Macaca mulatta: one gene and its partners. The protein of the gene in region 1 interacts with the protein of each later gene in a pairwise test. Links are inferred from orthologs where the notes say so. Each region holds a gene or a part of one and is shown in the gene's direction. Other genes may lie near its edges.

What was found.
Region 2: the proteins of FBF1 (region 1) and CINP interact in binary tests that used the Homo sapiens proteins (3 or more experiments, as listed by UniProt). The two-hybrid records come from large-scale screens. The link is inferred for Macaca mulatta from reciprocal best matches to the Homo sapiens genes FBF1 and CINP.
Region 3: the proteins of FBF1 (region 1) and ACCS interact in a two-hybrid assay, tested with the Homo sapiens proteins (2 studies listed by BioGRID and IntAct). The two-hybrid records come from large-scale screens. The link is inferred for Macaca mulatta from reciprocal best matches to the Homo sapiens genes FBF1 and ACCS.
Region 4: the proteins of FBF1 (region 1) and USHBP1 interact in binary tests that used the Homo sapiens proteins (3 or more experiments, as listed by UniProt). The two-hybrid records come from large-scale screens. The link is inferred for Macaca mulatta from reciprocal best matches to the Homo sapiens genes FBF1 and USHBP1.
Region 5: the proteins of FBF1 (region 1) and TUBGCP4 interact in a two-hybrid assay, tested with the Homo sapiens proteins (2 studies listed by BioGRID and IntAct). The two-hybrid records come from large-scale screens. The link is inferred for Macaca mulatta from reciprocal best matches to the Homo sapiens genes FBF1 and TUBGCP4.

Annotation. Positions count from the first base shown.
Region 1 is NC_133421.1:85,624,638-85,628,157, reverse strand, and holds part of FBF1 (fas-binding factor 1), read left to right. Parts: intron 1-3,057; coding exon 3,058-3,180; intron 3,181-3,265; coding exon 3,266-3,451; intron 3,452-3,520. UniProt on the Homo sapiens protein: Keratin-binding protein required for epithelial cell polarization. Involved in apical junction complex (AJC) assembly via its interaction with PARD3. Required for ciliogenesis.
Region 2 is NC_133412.1:175,709,889-175,712,638, reverse strand, and holds the end of CINP (cyclin-dependent kinase 2-interacting protein), read left to right. Parts: intron 1-296; coding exon 297-426; intron 427-1,755; coding exon 1,756-1,958; 3' UTR 1,959-2,230; downstream 2,231-2,750. UniProt on the Homo sapiens protein: Component of the DNA replication complex, which interacts with two kinases, CDK2 and CDC7, thereby providing a functional and physical link between CDK2 and CDC7 during firing of the origins of replication.
Region 3 is NC_133419.1:21,530,236-21,534,446, reverse strand, and holds the start of ACCS (1-aminocyclopropane-1-carboxylate synthase-like protein 1), read left to right. Parts: upstream 1-1,401; 5' UTR 1,402-1,598; exon of another isoform or gene 1,599-2,095; coding exon of another isoform or gene 2,096-2,194; intron 2,195-2,550; coding exon 2,551-2,838; intron 2,839-4,211. UniProt on the Homo sapiens protein: Does not catalyze the synthesis of 1-aminocyclopropane-1-carboxylate but is capable of catalyzing the deamination of L-vinylglycine.
Region 4 is NC_133424.1:17,741,393-17,744,912, reverse strand, and holds part of USHBP1 (harmonin-binding protein USHBP1), read left to right. Parts: coding exon 1-100; intron 101-1,575; coding exon 1,576-1,825; intron 1,826-3,520.
Region 5 is NC_133412.1:20,787,574-20,789,955, forward strand, and holds part of TUBGCP4 (gamma-tubulin complex component 4), read left to right. Parts: intron 1-771; coding exon 772-888; intron 889-1,502; coding exon 1,503-1,642; intron 1,643-2,295; coding exon 2,296-2,308; 3' UTR 2,309-2,382. UniProt on the Homo sapiens protein: Component of the gamma-tubulin ring complex (gTuRC) which mediates microtubule nucleation.

The DNA of each region.
Region 1 (3,520 bases):
CACTGCCCACCTGAGCACGCAGGGGCCACCTGGCCAGGCCCCCACCACGCCCTGCCTGCTCCTCAGCACCACAAGCCCCTCGGCCGCCTTGGCTGCCTCCACAGTCTAGCCCCTGCAACCATCAGCTGCACTTCCCACTTCCTGACACTCGAATCTGTCACATCAGCTGAGCCCTGACATTGGGACAGATGCTCTTGCCTATTAAATGTCATCCTAGCCTCTTCAGCTCTCACAGAGACATTTGAACTCCCTAGATACCTTTCATATATAAGCACATGCTTTATTTAAATAATAATGACCTGGCTGGGCTCGGTGGCTCACGCCTGTAATCCCAGCACTTTGGGAGGCCAAGGCGGGTGGATCACAATGTCAGGAGATCGAGACCATCCTGGCTAACACAGTGAAACACCGTCTCTACTAAAAATACAAAAAATTAGTCGGGCGTGCTGGCGGGTGCCTGTAGTCCCAGCTACTCGGGAGGCTGAGGCAGGAGAATGACGTGAACCTGGGAGGTGGAGCTTGCAGTGAGCCGAGATCGCACCACTGCACTCCAGCCTGGGAGACAGCGAGACTCCATCTCAAAAAAAAAAAAAAAAATAGGCCGGGCGCGGTGGCTCAAGCCTGTAATCCCAGCACTTTGGGAGGCCGAGGCGGGTGGATCACGAGGTCAGGAGATCGAGACTATCCTGGCTAACATGGTGAAACCCCGTCTCTACTAAAAATACAAAAAAAAACTAGCCGGGCGTGGTGGCGGGCGCCTGTAGTCTCAGCTACTTGGGAGGCTGAGGCGGGAGAATGGCGTGAACCCGGGAGGTGGAGCTTGCAGTGAGCCGAGATCACGCCACTGCACTCCAGCCTGGGAGACACAGCGAGACTCCGTCTCAAAAAAAAAAAATAAATTAAATAAATAAATAAATAAATAATGATTACCTTAGCCAGGCACAGTGGCCAGTGCCTGTAATCCCAGCTACTTGGGAGGCTGATGCAGGAGGATCACTTAAGCCCAAGAATTTGAGATCAGCCTAGCGAGACCATAGCAAGACCCCACCTCTAAAAAAATTTTTTTATGCCAGGCAAGTTGACTCATGCCTGTAATTCCAGCACTTCGGGAGGCCAAGGCTGGTGGATCACTTGAGGTCAGGAGTTTGAGACCAGCCTGACCAACATGGTGAAACCCTATCTCTACTAAAAATTAAAAAACTAGCCGGGCATGGTGGTGCATGCCTGTAATCCCAGCTATTAGGGAGGCTGAGGCAGGAGAATTGCTTGAACCCAGGATGCGGAGGTTGCAGTGAGTGGAGATCGTACCACTGCACACCAGTCTGGTTAACAACGAGACTCTGTCTCAAAAAAATAAATAAATAATAAAACATTTAAATTTTGTTTTAATGAACTGGGTGTGGTGGTGCACACCTGCAATCCCTGCCTTTGCTCACATCCTTTTCCTTACCTGTGGAAATCTTTCTAGGCTGAATTCAACGGTAATGAATCTTTTGATGCTACCACCTCCTCGAAGCCTTCCTTGTCCTCCCACCTGTCTTTTTATCCCCAGCTGTCATAAAGCGCTTTATTGTTTTTTTTTTAGAGACAGGGTCTTGCTCTGTCGCCCAGGCTGGAGTGCAGTGGTGTGATCATAGCTCACTGCAGCCTGACCTCTTTGGCTCAAGCCATCCTCCTGCCTCAGCTTCCTGAGTAGCTGGGACTACAGGCACACACCACCACACCCAGCTAATAGTGTATTTTTTGTTGAGATGTGGGTCTCGCCATGTTGCCCAGGCTGGCCTTGAACTCCTGGGCTCAAGCAATCCACCCACTTAGACCTTCCAACATTTTGAGAGTATAGGTGGGACACCACGCCTGGCCAAAAAAAATTTTTTTTGGAGATGGGGTCTCACTGTCACTCAGACTGGAGTACAGTGGCAAGATCTCGGCTCACAGCAGCTTGAACCTCCCGGGCTCAAGCAGTCTTCCCACCTCAGCCCCCAAGTAGCTGAGACCACAGGTGCATGCCACTATACCCAGCTAATTTTTTGTATTTTTTGTAGAAACGGGTTTGCCATGTTGCCCAGGGTGATCTCAAACTCCTGAACTCAAATAGTCTGCCCCCTTTGGCCTCCCAAAGTGCAGGGATTACAGGCGTGAACCACCTTGCCCAGTCAAAAACTTTTTTTTTTTTTTTTTTTTTTTGAGATGGAGTCTCGCTCTGTCACCCAGGCTGGAGTGCAGTGGTGCGATCTCAGCTCACTGCAACCTTCGCCTCCTGGGTTGAAGGGATTCTCCTGCCTCAGCCTCCTGAGCTGCTGGGATTACAGGCAACTGCCACCACACCCAGCTAATTTTTGTATTTTTAGTAGAGATGGGTTTCACCATGTTGGCCAGGGTGGTCTTGAACTCCTGACCTCAGGTGATCCACCTGTCTTGGCTTCCCAAAGTGCTGGGATTATAGGCCCTAGCCACTGTGCCTGGCCAAAAAAAAAAAGTTTTTAAAGAAGAAAATAAAAATATCTCACTAGTCAGAGATGTCCACTGCTGAGCTGATATCTATCCTGTAGCCATATCAACATAGATAGAGATGCTTTTATGTTGTGAACCATTTTGATTCGCCTCTTCATTTGGTAACTGTGTTAAGCACCTGCCTGGGGTCAGGCACAGTGAAGCTCTTGCCTCGTGCTGTGTGTGGCTGGGCCCACAGCACAGCGTTAGGCCACCCTGTGCTCAGCCTGCTTGGCTGATGGGTGAGGACAGGCAGAGTGTGTTGCTGGCCATTCAGCGGCAGGGATGTTGCTGCTCCTTGGCCCTCCCAAGCTGCTAGCCTTGGTGCTATTGGAGACCTGAGGGTTGGGAGGGCACCTGCTGGGTCCTCCTCTTGGGCAGAATCATGCGGGCTGGGCCCTGGCAGTGCCTCTCAGGCACCCCTCATTTTGTGCCTCTTTGGGAAGGACAGGTCAGTGGCATAGCGTGGGAGACACTGGTGGATTCGTGCAGCTCCTCAGGGAGTGGCCAGGCGTGATCCTCAGGGTGGGAACCACGCTCTCAGTCCTGCCCTGGGCCCTACAGGAACGCTGGCGGGTGACTGCCGAGCAGTCCAAGGCGGAGTCCATGCAGCGCGCCCTAGAGGAGCAAAGGAAGGTCACGGCCCAGCAGATGGCCATGGAAAGGGCGGAGCTGGAGCGGGCCAAGGTGAGTCAAGCCACTGCACTCAGCCCCTGCCCCTGCCATTATGCCCAGGGACACTCACCCTGTGCCCTCACCCCCCACATCCCAGAGCACCTTGCTGGAGGAGCAGAAGTCTGTCATGCTCAAGTGCGGGGAGGAGCGGCGGCGCCTGGCGGCCGAGTGGGCGGAGTTCTCCGCGCAGCAAAAGCTGAGTAAGGAGCGGGCCGAGCGCGAGGCCGAGCGGGCGCTGCAGGTGGACACCCAGCGGGAGGGCACCCTCATCAGCCTGGCCAAGGTAGGGCCCAGAGCCTCCGGACAGTGGAGGGCCCGGGGTAGCCTGCGCCCCTCCATCTGAACACATCCG
Region 2 (2,750 bases), on another chromosome or scaffold:
TTGGGCCTAAAACATCAGTGCTCTTTGGAAATCCTAGTGAAATGGCACTCAGAAACCTTTCTTGCTCTAGGACTGGAAATCTGGGGTTTATTACCAAAGTAATTCAAATTAATGGAATCATAGCAACTGTCCACCTTCGTCTCCCTGGGAATTTGCTGTACTTAGAGTTAACAGTGTTTAGTTATTGGAATTTTTATCACAATAGATGTACACTTCTTAGCTTTGAAATCTTATAGGTATTGAATCTGAGACTGGATATTTGAAATATTATCATATTCTAAATGAATATGTTTCAGACCAAAATACAGGTGAAAATGGAAAAGCTGTCTTCAACTACCAAGGGAATTTGTGAACTAGAAAATTACCATTATGGGGAGGAGACTAAACGACCCCCTCTGTTCCACACTTGGCCTACAACCCATTTCTGTAAGTAGTTCCTTCTCAGTTAACTTTCAGGAGGGTAAAGGTTATTAAGGGCATTTAGTATCGTTTACATCTGGTACTTTAAGAAGCTGACAAGGCTTTGAAATTCAATGCGAAAGTATCTATCGGGAGGAAAAGAGACAGAGGCGCCTTAAAATAAACATTTCTTCTTGGCTTTAATTACCTGGTTATCAGCAGAGTATATTAAACATAATCAGAGACCCGTGAAGCAAGCTGCTGTTATTAGGCCTCTAAAACCAGTGGGACAGAGTGAATTCCACCTCCTCTGTGGAAGCAGAAATCTCTCGTTTTGGGGGGGAAGGGGAGAAAGGGGTTTTTTTGGTTTGTTGAGGTTTTTCTTTTCCTTTTTGTTTTAATTAAAAAACAAATTGAGGTCACTGCAGCCAACCTCATGGAAGATGACTGGGAAAAATGAAAGCCATGACTTTAATAAACTCTAGGAGGTACTTCTTAAAGGGCTATTTTAGCTTTATTAGTTCAAGACAAGGGCTAAGCTGTTTTATGTTGATCTGAGACTTTTTAAATAAGGCAGGAAAGGGGAAAATCACCTGGTGGAATGTGTTTAGTGATATATTGTCAGTTTGAGGGGAATCTCCTACTTATAATCACTGTAGGTCACCTAAGGGTCAGGTAGAAAAGGTTATATATACTTTTTTTGAGACAGAGTCTCGCTCTGTCACGCATGCTGGAGTGTAGTGGTGCAGTCTTGGCTGGAGTGCGGTGGCGCAATCTCAGCTCACCACAAGCTCCGCCTCCCAGATTCACGCCATTCTCCTGCCTCAGCCTTCTGAGCAGCTGGGACTACAGGCGCCCGCCACCATGTCCGGCTAATTTTTCATGTTTTTAGTAGAGACGGGGTTTCACCGTGTTAGCCAGGATGGTCTCGATCTCCTCACCTCGTGATCCACCCACCTCGGCCTCCCAAAGTGCTGGGATTACAGGTGTGAGCCACCGCGCCCGCCCTAGTTTTTGTATTTTTTAGTAGAGACAGGGTTTTGCCATGTTGGCCAGGCTGGTCTCAAACTCCTGACCTCATGTGACCTACCCACTTGGGCCTCCCACAGTGCTGGGATTACAGTCGTGGGCCACCGCGCCTGGCCTATATACGCTTTTATTTCACTCTGCTGACGATGTTATCAAATTGTACTAATCTGTACCAGCTAGAGTGGTAAACTCCATCGGGCCCTTCTTCCTTTCAGTGCTGTTGCTAATTCTGGTTTTTAATTAAGAGCTGTTAAAAATGTAGTTCTTCCTGAGTCAAGACTACATTCTTGAATCACTGCCATTAAGGGACACTCACGTTTCTTTCAGATGAGGTTTCACACAAGCTCTTGGAGATGTACAGGAAGGAGCTGCTCCTGAAGCGCACAGTGGCTAAGGAGCTTGCACACACCAGGGATCCTGACCTCACCCTGAGCTACTTGTCCATGTGGCTGCACCAGCCCTACGTGGAGAGCGACAGCAGGCTGCATCTGGAGAGCATGCTGCTGGAGACGGGCCACCGAGCTCTGTGACATCCTGAGACGGCTGCGGACACTGGCTCCTTCCACTTCTCACCAGGCAGACAGTCTCCTGCCTAGGACCCAGTGCCGCAGGCCTGGATCAGACCTCAGGATCAGACCTTCTTGGGGTCTTCTGGCCAGAGCTTGTCACCAGCCCCATGGCCTCTCCAGGCATGCCCATGTCCACAGCCCGCGGCCAGCCCCATGTGGTGCCGCTCAGCCTCCTCTGCCCCTCCTGGGAACCCGTCACTCGTGGGTGCTTCTGAGTAAAATCAATGAGTTTCTGAGCAGAATGAGTGAGTGATCTGGTTTCTATAAATAAGGCGTGCTTTGTACATTTGTGTAGAAAATCCTTGGTTTAATATTTTCACTTTATGCCTATCTGATTGTTGAAGTTTTTATGAGAATATATTAGTTTTTGGGCCAGGTGCAGTGGCTCACGCCTGTAATCCCAGCACTTTGGGAGGCCGAAGTGGGCAGATCACTTGAGGTTAGGAGTTCGAGTCCAGCCTGGCCAACATACTGAAACCCTGTCTCTACTAAAAATACAAAAATCAACCGGCATGGTGGTACGTGCCTGCAATCCCAGCTACTTGAGAGGCTGAGGCAGAAGAATCGCTTGAATCAGGAGGCAGAGGCTGCTGTGAGCCATTGCAGCCCAACCTGGGTGACAGAGTGAGACTTCATCTTAAATAATAAGATCCCATAGAGTTAAAGTGAAGTTTGACATCATGACAATGAAAATAACCTACGAAAAAATTGCCGCTGTTTGCATACTGGGGACGTGACAAGCGATGTAACCTG
Region 3 (4,211 bases), on another chromosome or scaffold:
TCTCCCTATGTTGCCTAGGCTGGTTTCAAACTCCTTGGTTCAAGGGATGGTCCCACCTTGTCCTCTCAAAGTGTTGGGATTACAGGCGTGGGCCAGCACGCCTAGCCAGAGTTCAACAAATGTTGCAGCCACATGTGGGAGACCAGGACATGCCTCCCCAAAACATGAAGGATTGTGCTAAAGACAAGCAGCAGCAGATTCAGGAAAGCTCTCTACCCTGGCCCTTTGCCTAAAAGTAGGACACAGGTTTACAAAGACAAAAGGTATCCTGTCCCTCCGTCTACCTGGGAGAACGAAGACTACTTTAGACCCCTACAGCCTGGAGATGGTATCAGAGGAATTTACATTAACAAGCTTGACTAACTGGCCTTTGTTTTTTTTTTTTTGTTTTGTTTTTGTTTTTTGCCGTCTCACAAGTTGCCTCCTGGAGAGACTCGAAGTCCTATTTCTTTGTCTTGTAACTTAAAAAAATTACTGTTCTTTGTTGAAGATGCTATAAAAAATGGAATTCAAAGTCACCTCTTCCAGAGCGACTCATTCCCTTCTATTATGAAATATACATGTCAGTAAATCTGTGTTTGTTTTTCTCTTGTTAATTTGTCTTTTGTAACAGGAGTCTCCCCCAACTAAGAACCTATGAGGGCTAAAGAAAATCCCCTACAAATAAAAGGGGCAGAAATGACAAGCTGCGATGAAAGGCCACAAGGATGCTCACACCCGAATCTAAAAAGCGCTTTGTGGGGGCCGCAGCCAAGCATACTTTGGCCAAGAAATTTCTGTGGCTCTAACCTCCTTTGAAAACTGGAGAACCAAGGCCAGGTGGCAGAGGGAGGTGACTGACCCCACCCGGCCCGGCGGCGGCCCCGCACGCGCAAGCCACCCAGAGTGGAGGTGGGAACCAGCGCTCCGCCCCTTCCTCGCTGAAAGGGGCCCCTTTCCCTTTTCCCGGTCCCGCGGTCAGACCTCGTGTGTGACCCTTAAAGCGTAGGCTCCGCCGAGACTGCACCCGGCCTGAGCGGCGAGGGAACAAACTGCGCCCTGAGCAGGCCAGGAAGCCCGGCCCGGGGCAGACGGCCCTCAAGTTTCCTAGTCCGAGCGCAGGGCGGCGCTGTCCTCACCCGCGCGTAACGAGCCGGACGGAGGGCGTTTACCGGTGGAGGAAACCAACCTGTGATACGCGCCTGCAGAGTGCCAGCTCCTCCAGCTCCGCCAAGTAGGTGGGATCCCCTACTTTGCAGAGGAGGAAGCCGTTCAGGCCTCCCTGTGTGCACTTTGCAAAAGCCTCTGCCCTTCCATCTCGAATCCCTTGGCACCGATCGCACTTCCTTCGCCTGGAAATCTGGAGTCGTCTCTCGCGAGACATCCTCCGCCCTGTAGAAGGCCGTTTCGGTTCTTCGTGCGCGGTAGCCGCCCCACTTGCGGGATTCCAAGGCCTGCTTAATCGGGCGCGGGTGTGTCTGGCTGTGGATTCGCCGCCGTCCCACTGGACGCCTGGAGGCTTGAACCGCGCCGCTCCCAGATCCCAGGCTTTGCTCCCACCCCGGCTTCCGCCCACAGTGCTGTACTTCCTCGGACCTCGGCTGTCGGGAGAGCCGGAGGTGAGCGCTCTCGGGAGAGCCCAGCCAATTTTAAAGAGTCCCCCTGAGAAGACTTTGCAGAGGAAAATTTAACTGTGGGTACCCCCTGAGTTTCTGGTGCACCCGGTGTATCAGAGCTTGTGTTGTGCATCAGGACTGGAAAATTGGCAAGGAGTTACTTACGCTCTAATGACTCATATTTTATTGAACTTTTATCATCAGCCAGGATTTGTTCTAAGTACTTTATTGTCACTAACCCATATATCTGTATCTTCACGGCCAAACCGAGGTGATTACTGTTATATCCACTGTGCAGATGAGGAAACTAAACTGGCTTAGAGAAGTGAAGGAGTTCACACCCGCGGGCAGGAGTAGACCACCCTCATTGGTGTCCACACCTCTTTTCTTCAGGACTGAAGAGGCAGTCACTGGAGCTCTGCCTGGGGTGTCTGCACTTATGGAGACCCCCATTCCTCCCTCCCCTCGGTTCCCACCCACTATCCGCCTCAGAGTACCACATGATCTCATCCTACCCTTTACACCACAAGACCCCCAGGACTCCCAGGCGATGCTCTGCTTTAACTCAAGAAATTTTAACCTGGCATTTGGTAATTGAGGTGAGCAAGGATGGAAGAAGAATGTTGATGACCCTTTAGGCTGCAGAGTGAAAAACTTATGCAGAAGTAGAACACGCTAAAGCAGCAATACATTAAAGTCATATAAATATGGCAAGTGCAGTCCCTGGCACATACTAGGTCCTTAACAGGTTTTTCTTGTTGAAGTCATTGCACATATGGTTACAACTAAGGGACACAGGAAGTGATGAGTGCATAAACCTAAAGGAAGGGAGGTTTTTGCATAAACCTAAAGGAAGGGAATAAGAGAAAGGGAACTCCCATGACTCCAACTCCTTTCTGATGCTTGGTGCTGTGGAAATCCCTTGAGCAGGCCTGTGAATTTTGTCTTTTTGCAGATGTTCACACTTCCTCAAAAGGACTTCAGTGCTCCCACCACCTGTCTGGGCCCCACCTGCCTGCAGGACCTGGGCAGTAGCCATGGGGATGATCTGGAAGGAGAATGCTCCAGAAAACTGGACCAGAAGCTGCCAGAGCTCCCTGGAGTGGGTGATTCTGCCATGCTCTCCCCTGATACCTCCTACCTGTCCTCTAGAGGAAGAATGATTAAATGGTTCTGGGATTCCGCTGAGGAGGGCTACAGGACCTACCACATGGATGAGTATGATGAGAACAAGAACCCCAGTGTGAGTGAAGCTCCCCTCCCACTGGCACCCGAGAGGGAACTGCAGGGTGGGGTACCCTACCTTGACCAATAAGGCAGCATCCAGCCTGCTCTTGTGAGGTTGGAGTTACGGTCCTCTGACCTCCAAGAGGGCTTCTGATGTAGCTTAGGGAGGCTCCAGTGTACTGCCTGGATCAGGAAATGGTCCATTTGGAATACAGGGGACCTTGATTTGTGAGGGAGGAATTCAAGAGCCACACGATGTTCTTCTATGGATTCTGACCCATGACCTGTCAACTGTCCAACTTTAGAGCTAGGGCAGAACTAAGGTTCAGGTCGCAACTGTTTTACTTATAGGTTGTTTATTGCTGAGCTAGTTACTTCACTTCCTTGAATCTTAAATTATCTCTAAAATGAAATAATGACACCAGGCATGGTGGTTCACGCCTGTAATCCCAGCACTTTGGGAGGCTGAGGCAGAGGGAACCCTTGAGGCCAGGAGTTTGAGACCAGCCTGGGCCACATAGCAAGACCCCATCACCACAAAAAAATAAAAATAAAAAAATTAGCAGGGTGTGGTGGTGTGCACCTGTGGTCCCAGCTACTGGGGAGGCTGAGGTGGAAGGATTGCTTGAACCTGGAGGTCAATGCTATAGTGAGCCAAGATCACGCCACTGCATTCTAGCCTGGGCAACGGAGTGAGACCCTGTCTCAAAATAACAGGAAACAGGCCGGGCGTGGTGGCTCACGCCTGTAATCCCAGCACTTTGGGAGGCCGAGACGGGTGGATCATGAGGTCAGGAGATCGAGACCATCCTGGCTAACCCAGTGAAACCCCGTCTCTACTAAAAAATACAAAAAACTAGCCGGGCGAAGTGGCGGGCGCCTGTAGTCCCAGCTACTCGGGAGGCTGAGGCAGGAGAATGGCATGGACCCGGGAGGCGGAGTTTGCAGTGAGCTGAGATCCGGCCACTGCACTCCAGCCTCGGCGACAGAGCGAGACTCCGTCTCAAAAAAAAAAAAAAAAAAAAAAAAAAAAAAAAAAAAACAGGAAACAAACAAAAATAAAATAAAATGGGATAATAATACCTGCTGTGTAGAAGAGTCAAGATTAAATGAGAGCAAGTATATGAAGTTTTTAGCACAGTGCTACTCAATAAATGATAGCTGCTATTAATATTTTCTGTCCCCAATATAAGCTATTCTCATAATGCCTTCAGGAGTCAGAAAGCTGTTACGGTAACCCTTTAATAATCCTTATTTGTTGAGCATCTACCATATAGATGTGAACAGAAACAAAGTTCTGATCCTCATAGAGCTCATATTCTAGTTAGGGAGACAGACAGTGAATGGACAGAGAAAAAATATATATACTATATGGTGGTAAATACTATA
Region 4 (3,520 bases), on another chromosome or scaffold:
CCACGAGTGACCTGCAAGCAGCTGAAGAGGAAGCATGGAGGCTGCTGGCACAAGAGGAGGCCACCATGGATGCAGGGGCACGGCAGAATCCACAGCCAAGGTACCTCCCCGGAACCCTGGGAACTGGCCTGGTTGAGGAGTGGGGTCTTGACTGGGGAATGGGGCTCCCAGAACTCACCATGTTTGGGGGCTTGGTGTGGCTGTGTCCAGCAAGGTCGGTATGGAGCACACTGTAGTTGGTTGACATGAGGCTCAACTGCAGTTGGCCTGTTGCTACTTGACAAAGTTAGCATGGTGGTTGACAGATATTGCAGTTGGCGTGAAGATGGATAATGATGCCTACTGGTTAAAACTGGCACCCACAGCCGGGCACAGTGGCTCACGCCTGTAATCCCAGCACTTTAGGAGGCCAAGGCAGGCAGATCGCTTGAGCTCAGTAGTTCAAGACCAGCCCTTGTAACATGGCAAAAGTCCTTTTCTACCAAAACTACAAATAAATTAGCCGGGTGTGCCCATGTAGTCCCAGCTACTTGGGAGGCTGAGGTGGGAGGAAGCCTTGAGTCTGGGAGGTGGAGGCTGCAGTGAGCTGAGATTGCACCACTGCACTCCAGCCTGGGTGACAGAGTGAGACCCTGGTTTTTTTTTTTTTTTTTTTTTTTTTTTTTTGAGACGGAGTCTGGCTCTGTCGCCCAGGCTGGAGTGCAGTGGCTGGATCTCAGCTCACTGCAAGCTCTGCCTCCCGGGTTTGCGCCATTCTCCTGCCTCAGCCTCCCGAGTAGCTGGGACTACAGGCGCCCGCCACCTCGCCCGGCTATTTTTTTGTATTTTTTAGTAGAGACAGGGTTTCACCGTGTTAGCCAGGATGGTCTCGATCTCCTGACCTCGTGATCTGCCCGTCTCGGCCTCCCAAAGTGCTGGGATTACAGGCTTGAGCCACCGCGCCCGGCCAAGACCCTGGTTTTTGTTTTGTTTTGAGACGAATTTTCACTCTTGTCACCCAGGCTGGAGTCCAATAGTCTGATCTCGGCTCACTGCAACCTCCGCCTCCCAGGTTCAAGCGATTCTCCTGCCTCAGCCTCCCGAGTAGGTGGGATTACAGGCTCCCACTATCATGCCTGGCTAATTTTGAATTTTCAGTAGAGATGGGGTTTCTCCATATTGGTCAGGCTGGTCTCGAACTCCCGACCTCAGGTGATCCACTTGCCTCTGCCTCCCAAAGTGCTGGGATTACAGGCGTGAGGCACCGTGCCCAGCCCCAGCTAATTATTTTATAAAGACGGATTCTCACTCTGTTGCCTATGCTGCTCTCAAACTTCTGGCTTCAAGCAATCCTCCCGCCTCAGCCTCCCAAAGTGCTGGGGTTACAGGCGTGCATCACCACACCTGACCAAAATGTGGTCTTGATGGAAGATGGTGCCTAGTGGGGTACGTTGGTGTGACAGGGGCCACCACAGATGGCAAAGACTCCGTCGTGGCCAGTGAGATGGAAGATGATGGACCCTACCAGGATTGGCATGAAGTTAACCCACCTATGCCTGCCGGTGTTAACATAGGCACATCTTCTGTTTTCTGTAGCCCTGAGGGCAGCAGTGTGGATAAGCCCACACCACAGGAAGTGGCTTTCCAGCTCCGAAGCTATGTCCAGCGTCTCCAGGAGCGCCGTTCTCTAGTGAAGATTCTCTCAGAGCCTGGCCCCACCTTGGCATCCATGCCCACTGTGCCCCGTGCAGAAGCCATGGTACAGGCCATTCTGGGGACCCAGTCTGGCCCAGCTCTTCCCCGACTGGAGAAGACACAAATTCAGCAGGACCTGGTGGCCACAAGGGTACAAATGGGCTGTGGTCACTGTCAGTTTTTCTTGATGGGACAAAATCCTTTACTGAGGTTGGGGGATCAAGGAGCAAAGGAGAATTCTCCTGGGCTGGGTGCAGGCATTGTGAAGGAGAATTGGAACTGGGGTTTTGAGGGATTAATAGGAGTTTGTCTTCTGGGGTTCATTGTCTCAATAGACTACAAATCTGGCTCTCCAAAATGCCCTTCGTATGGGAAGAGATGGGAGCAAAGAACACAGTCTTGGGTTTGTAGCTTGGCATGAAAACCTTGAGGTTCTCAAGCTGGAGAAACTCCAGAAGCTTTGACAGAACTGCTCTATGACCTATGTAAGCTACTTGCCCTCTAGGAAATGCCATTTCTACAGCTGTGGTTTTTTTTTTTTTTTTTGAGACGGAGTCTCGCTCTGTCACCCGGGCTGGAGTGCAGTGGCCGGATCTCAGCTCACTGCAAGTTCCGCCTCCCGGGTTCACGCCATTCTCCTGCCTCAGCCTCCCGAGTAGCTGGGACTACAGTAGCCCGCCACCTCGCCCGGCTACTTTTTTTTTGTTTTGTTTTGTTTTGTTTTGTTTTTTTGTATTTTTTAGTAGAGACGGGGTTTCACCGTGTTAGCCAGGATGGTCTCGATCTCCCGACCTTGTGATCCGCCCATCTCGGCCTCCCAAAGTGCTGGGATTACAGGCTTGAGCCACCGCGCCTGGCCACAGCTGTGGTTTTTATGGGAGGAAGATATTTCCACCTCACAAGAACATGGTGATCCTGGCGAACCCGGTGAAACCCCGTCTCTACTAAAAAATACAAAAAACGGCCGGGCGCGGTGGCTCAAGCCTGTAATCCCAGCACTTTGGGAGGCCGAGACGGGCGGATCACGAGGTCAGGAGTTCGAGACCATCCTGGCTAACACGGTGAAACCCCGTCTCTACTAAAAAGTACAAAAAACTAGCCGGGCGAGGTGGCGGGCGCCTGTAGTCCCAGCTACTCAGGAGGCTGAGGCAGGAGAATGGCGGGAACCCGGGAGGCGGAGCTTGCAGTGAGCTGAGATCTGGCCACTGCACCCCAGCCTGGGTGACAGAGCGAGACTCCGTCTCAAAAAAAAAAAAAAAAAAAAAAAAAAAAATACAAAAAACTAGCTGGGCGAGGTGGCGGGCACCTGTAGTCCCAGCTACTTGGGAGGCTGAGGCAGGAGAATGGCATAAACCCGGGAGGCGGAGCTTGCAGTGAGCTGAGATCCGGCCACTGCACTCCAGCCTGGGTGACAGAGCGAGACCCCGTCTCACCAAAAAAAAAAAAAAAAAAAGAACATGGTGAAGGTCCTAGTTTGTTTTTTGTTTTTTTTTTTTTGAGACAGAGTCTTGCTCTCACCCAGGCTGAAGTGCTGTGGCGCTATCTCGGCTCACTGCAGCCTCTGCCCCCACCGGGTTCAAGTGATTCTCCTGCCTCAGCCTCCTGAGTAGCTGAGATTACAGTTGTGCACCACCACACCAGGCTATTTTTTGTATTTTCTGTGGAGACGGGGTTTCGCCATGTTGGCCAGGCTGGTCTCGAACTCCTGACCTCAGGTAATCCACCCACTTTGGCCTCCCAAAGTGCTGGGATTACAGGCATGAGCCACCGTGCCCAGCCAAAGGTCACAGTTTTTGTCTGAATAGGCCTCAGTGGGTGCCTCTTGGGGCCTCAGTTTCCCTGCAGT
Region 5 (2,382 bases), on another chromosome or scaffold:
AAATGTTCTGGTGTTTAGGGCTATTTCTGCTGCCCAGGAAGAGGAAGATATATATTAATAAATGCCATTTCAGAGGGCTGGTTGAAAACAACCAAGAACTACTGTGATGGGTCGATGCTGTCCTTATGTGGCATAGATGTATCCATAGGGAAAAGCCGAGTATCAGAGCAGGTCATCATCATTAAATATTTATTGAGTGCTTACTGTATGCAAGGCACTGGGGATACAAAGAGGTATAATTCATGGCTCTGCCCTTAAGGAGCTCACAATCTAGTTGGAAAAACAAGACATATATATACATACAGAAATCATTAACAACACAGAGGCCTGAACAATTGCCAAGTGGACAACAGTACAGATAATAAAGAAGCAAGAAACGGGGTTCACTAAAGGCTACAGTGGGGAAGGGAGTGCTTCACTGAGAGAGTGGGACTTGAACTGGTATTAAAAAGAAGAGCATCCCAGGCAAAGAGAACAACACTCACAGCTCAGAGGCAGGAACACACTCTGCGGGTCTAAGAAATGAAGAGTTAAATGTGGCTAGAATGGAGGTTTGGTGCGGGGCTGAGAGAGTAATACTCGTGTACGCAGGAAAGGATGCATTTGTTTTACACATATTGTATGTCTGAGGGGCTGGCAGGCCTTGCAAGTGACAGTGTCTATCCTCTCAGATTTGGGAGGTCAGCTATTAATCAGACTGTTCTCCCAAATCTTTAATTTCATGGACGTACCTTCCTTCTTTTCCTAATGCCAACTCTGTTTCCTGGGTAGGTGTTTCACTGCCTGAATGAAATCCTAGATCTCTGTCACAGTTTTTGTTCGCTGGTCAGTCAGAACCTAGGCCCACTGGATGAGCGTGGAGCCGCCCAGCTGAGCATTCTCGTGAAGGTGCGTCTGCCTGGAAGTATGCAGCCTTGCCGAAAGGACAGAGGTGGTTTTGTCAATGGAGAATTCATGATCTTTCCTCTGAGTCAGTAAAGCATTTCCTCAATACACACACGTACAGAAATAAGATATAAAGATAAAAATGTTGGTATCAGTTGATTTTGAATCAGGTAATTACTGTGCTACCTCAGAGTGCTCAAAAATAGTTCAGTCCTGAATAGTTTATTCAGCCCATCAAATAAGCATTGGCTTTGTTCTAACTTCCTCACATCCTACCCCTCTTTACTTCCTTGAACTAACCCCTATCTCACTGAGATAATTATCTGCTTGTAATCAAAACGGGTTCTCCCCAACCCCAGTACTTGACAAAATACATTAACTGGAAACCAGCTACTAAATTCCTACTGGTGAAAGAGTACTTTCATAGGAAGTCATGCATGTATGGATTTGGTACAAGTCATTTTAAGAACTAATAGAAATAGGAATGTGGGAAGGCCAGGTGGTTCTGTAGAATTTTGAGCAAGGCTTTTCCAAGAAACTCCTCCCTCCGCCCCCATCCTCCATATGGAGAGTTGGTGAGCTGAAGTGGAATGACAGCTGAGTCCTTCTCTCTGCAGGGCTTTAGCCGCCAGTCTTCACTCCTATTCAAGATTCTCTCCAGTGTTCGGAATCATCAGATCAACTCAGATTTGGCTCAACTACTGTTACGACTAGATTATAACAAATACTATACCCAGGCTGGTGGAACTCTGGGCAGGTAGGAGCAACCCTTGGGTAACTCAGTAGACTTTTGTGGGTGACTTTTTAATGAGTTGCAGAATTCTAGAGCTGGAAGAAGACTTTAGCCATCATATAGTCCAAATACGCTCATTTTATATAAACAAGGTTTAGAGATAGAGGTGTGACCATCTTTAATAATTTTAATGAAGATTATTTTCTAGTAGAAGTCATCATCATCATCATAAAATACTAAAAAACCTGACAGTGAGATAGGTGTTAAGTCCTTTGCTAGGTTATGTATTGCTATGCTGGGAGGCAGTGTGCCTTCCATTCCCAATTCTGATATGAACTAGCTGTGCAGCCGTGGGCACCCCGCCTTGCTGGTCCCTAGCTTCCACATTGGTGAAAGGAGGGGACCACCCCTTCTAACTCTAAACTTTAAGTGAGATTCAGTGGTAGCTGGCTTCCCAGAGCTCTGTCATTCCCATTCAGAAAATCACTTTATTGTCCTTTCTCTCTCTCAAATGTCTGCAAGTAGACTTTTTTCTAAGCTATTTTAGCAGAAGAGTCAAAAGAAACTCTTGTTTTAAGACGACATTATTTAGACCACAGGTTGTCCTGATTCATATTTCTTTGAAGGCAGTCTTGGGAAAGCATGATACTTAATAAGGCTCTTTTTCTCTTTTGTAGTTTCGGGATGTGAAAAGTTATGGCTCATAAACTGAAATAACAGCCACGTTCCCAAGTTTGTACCAGAAGATTCAAAACAAACATCCC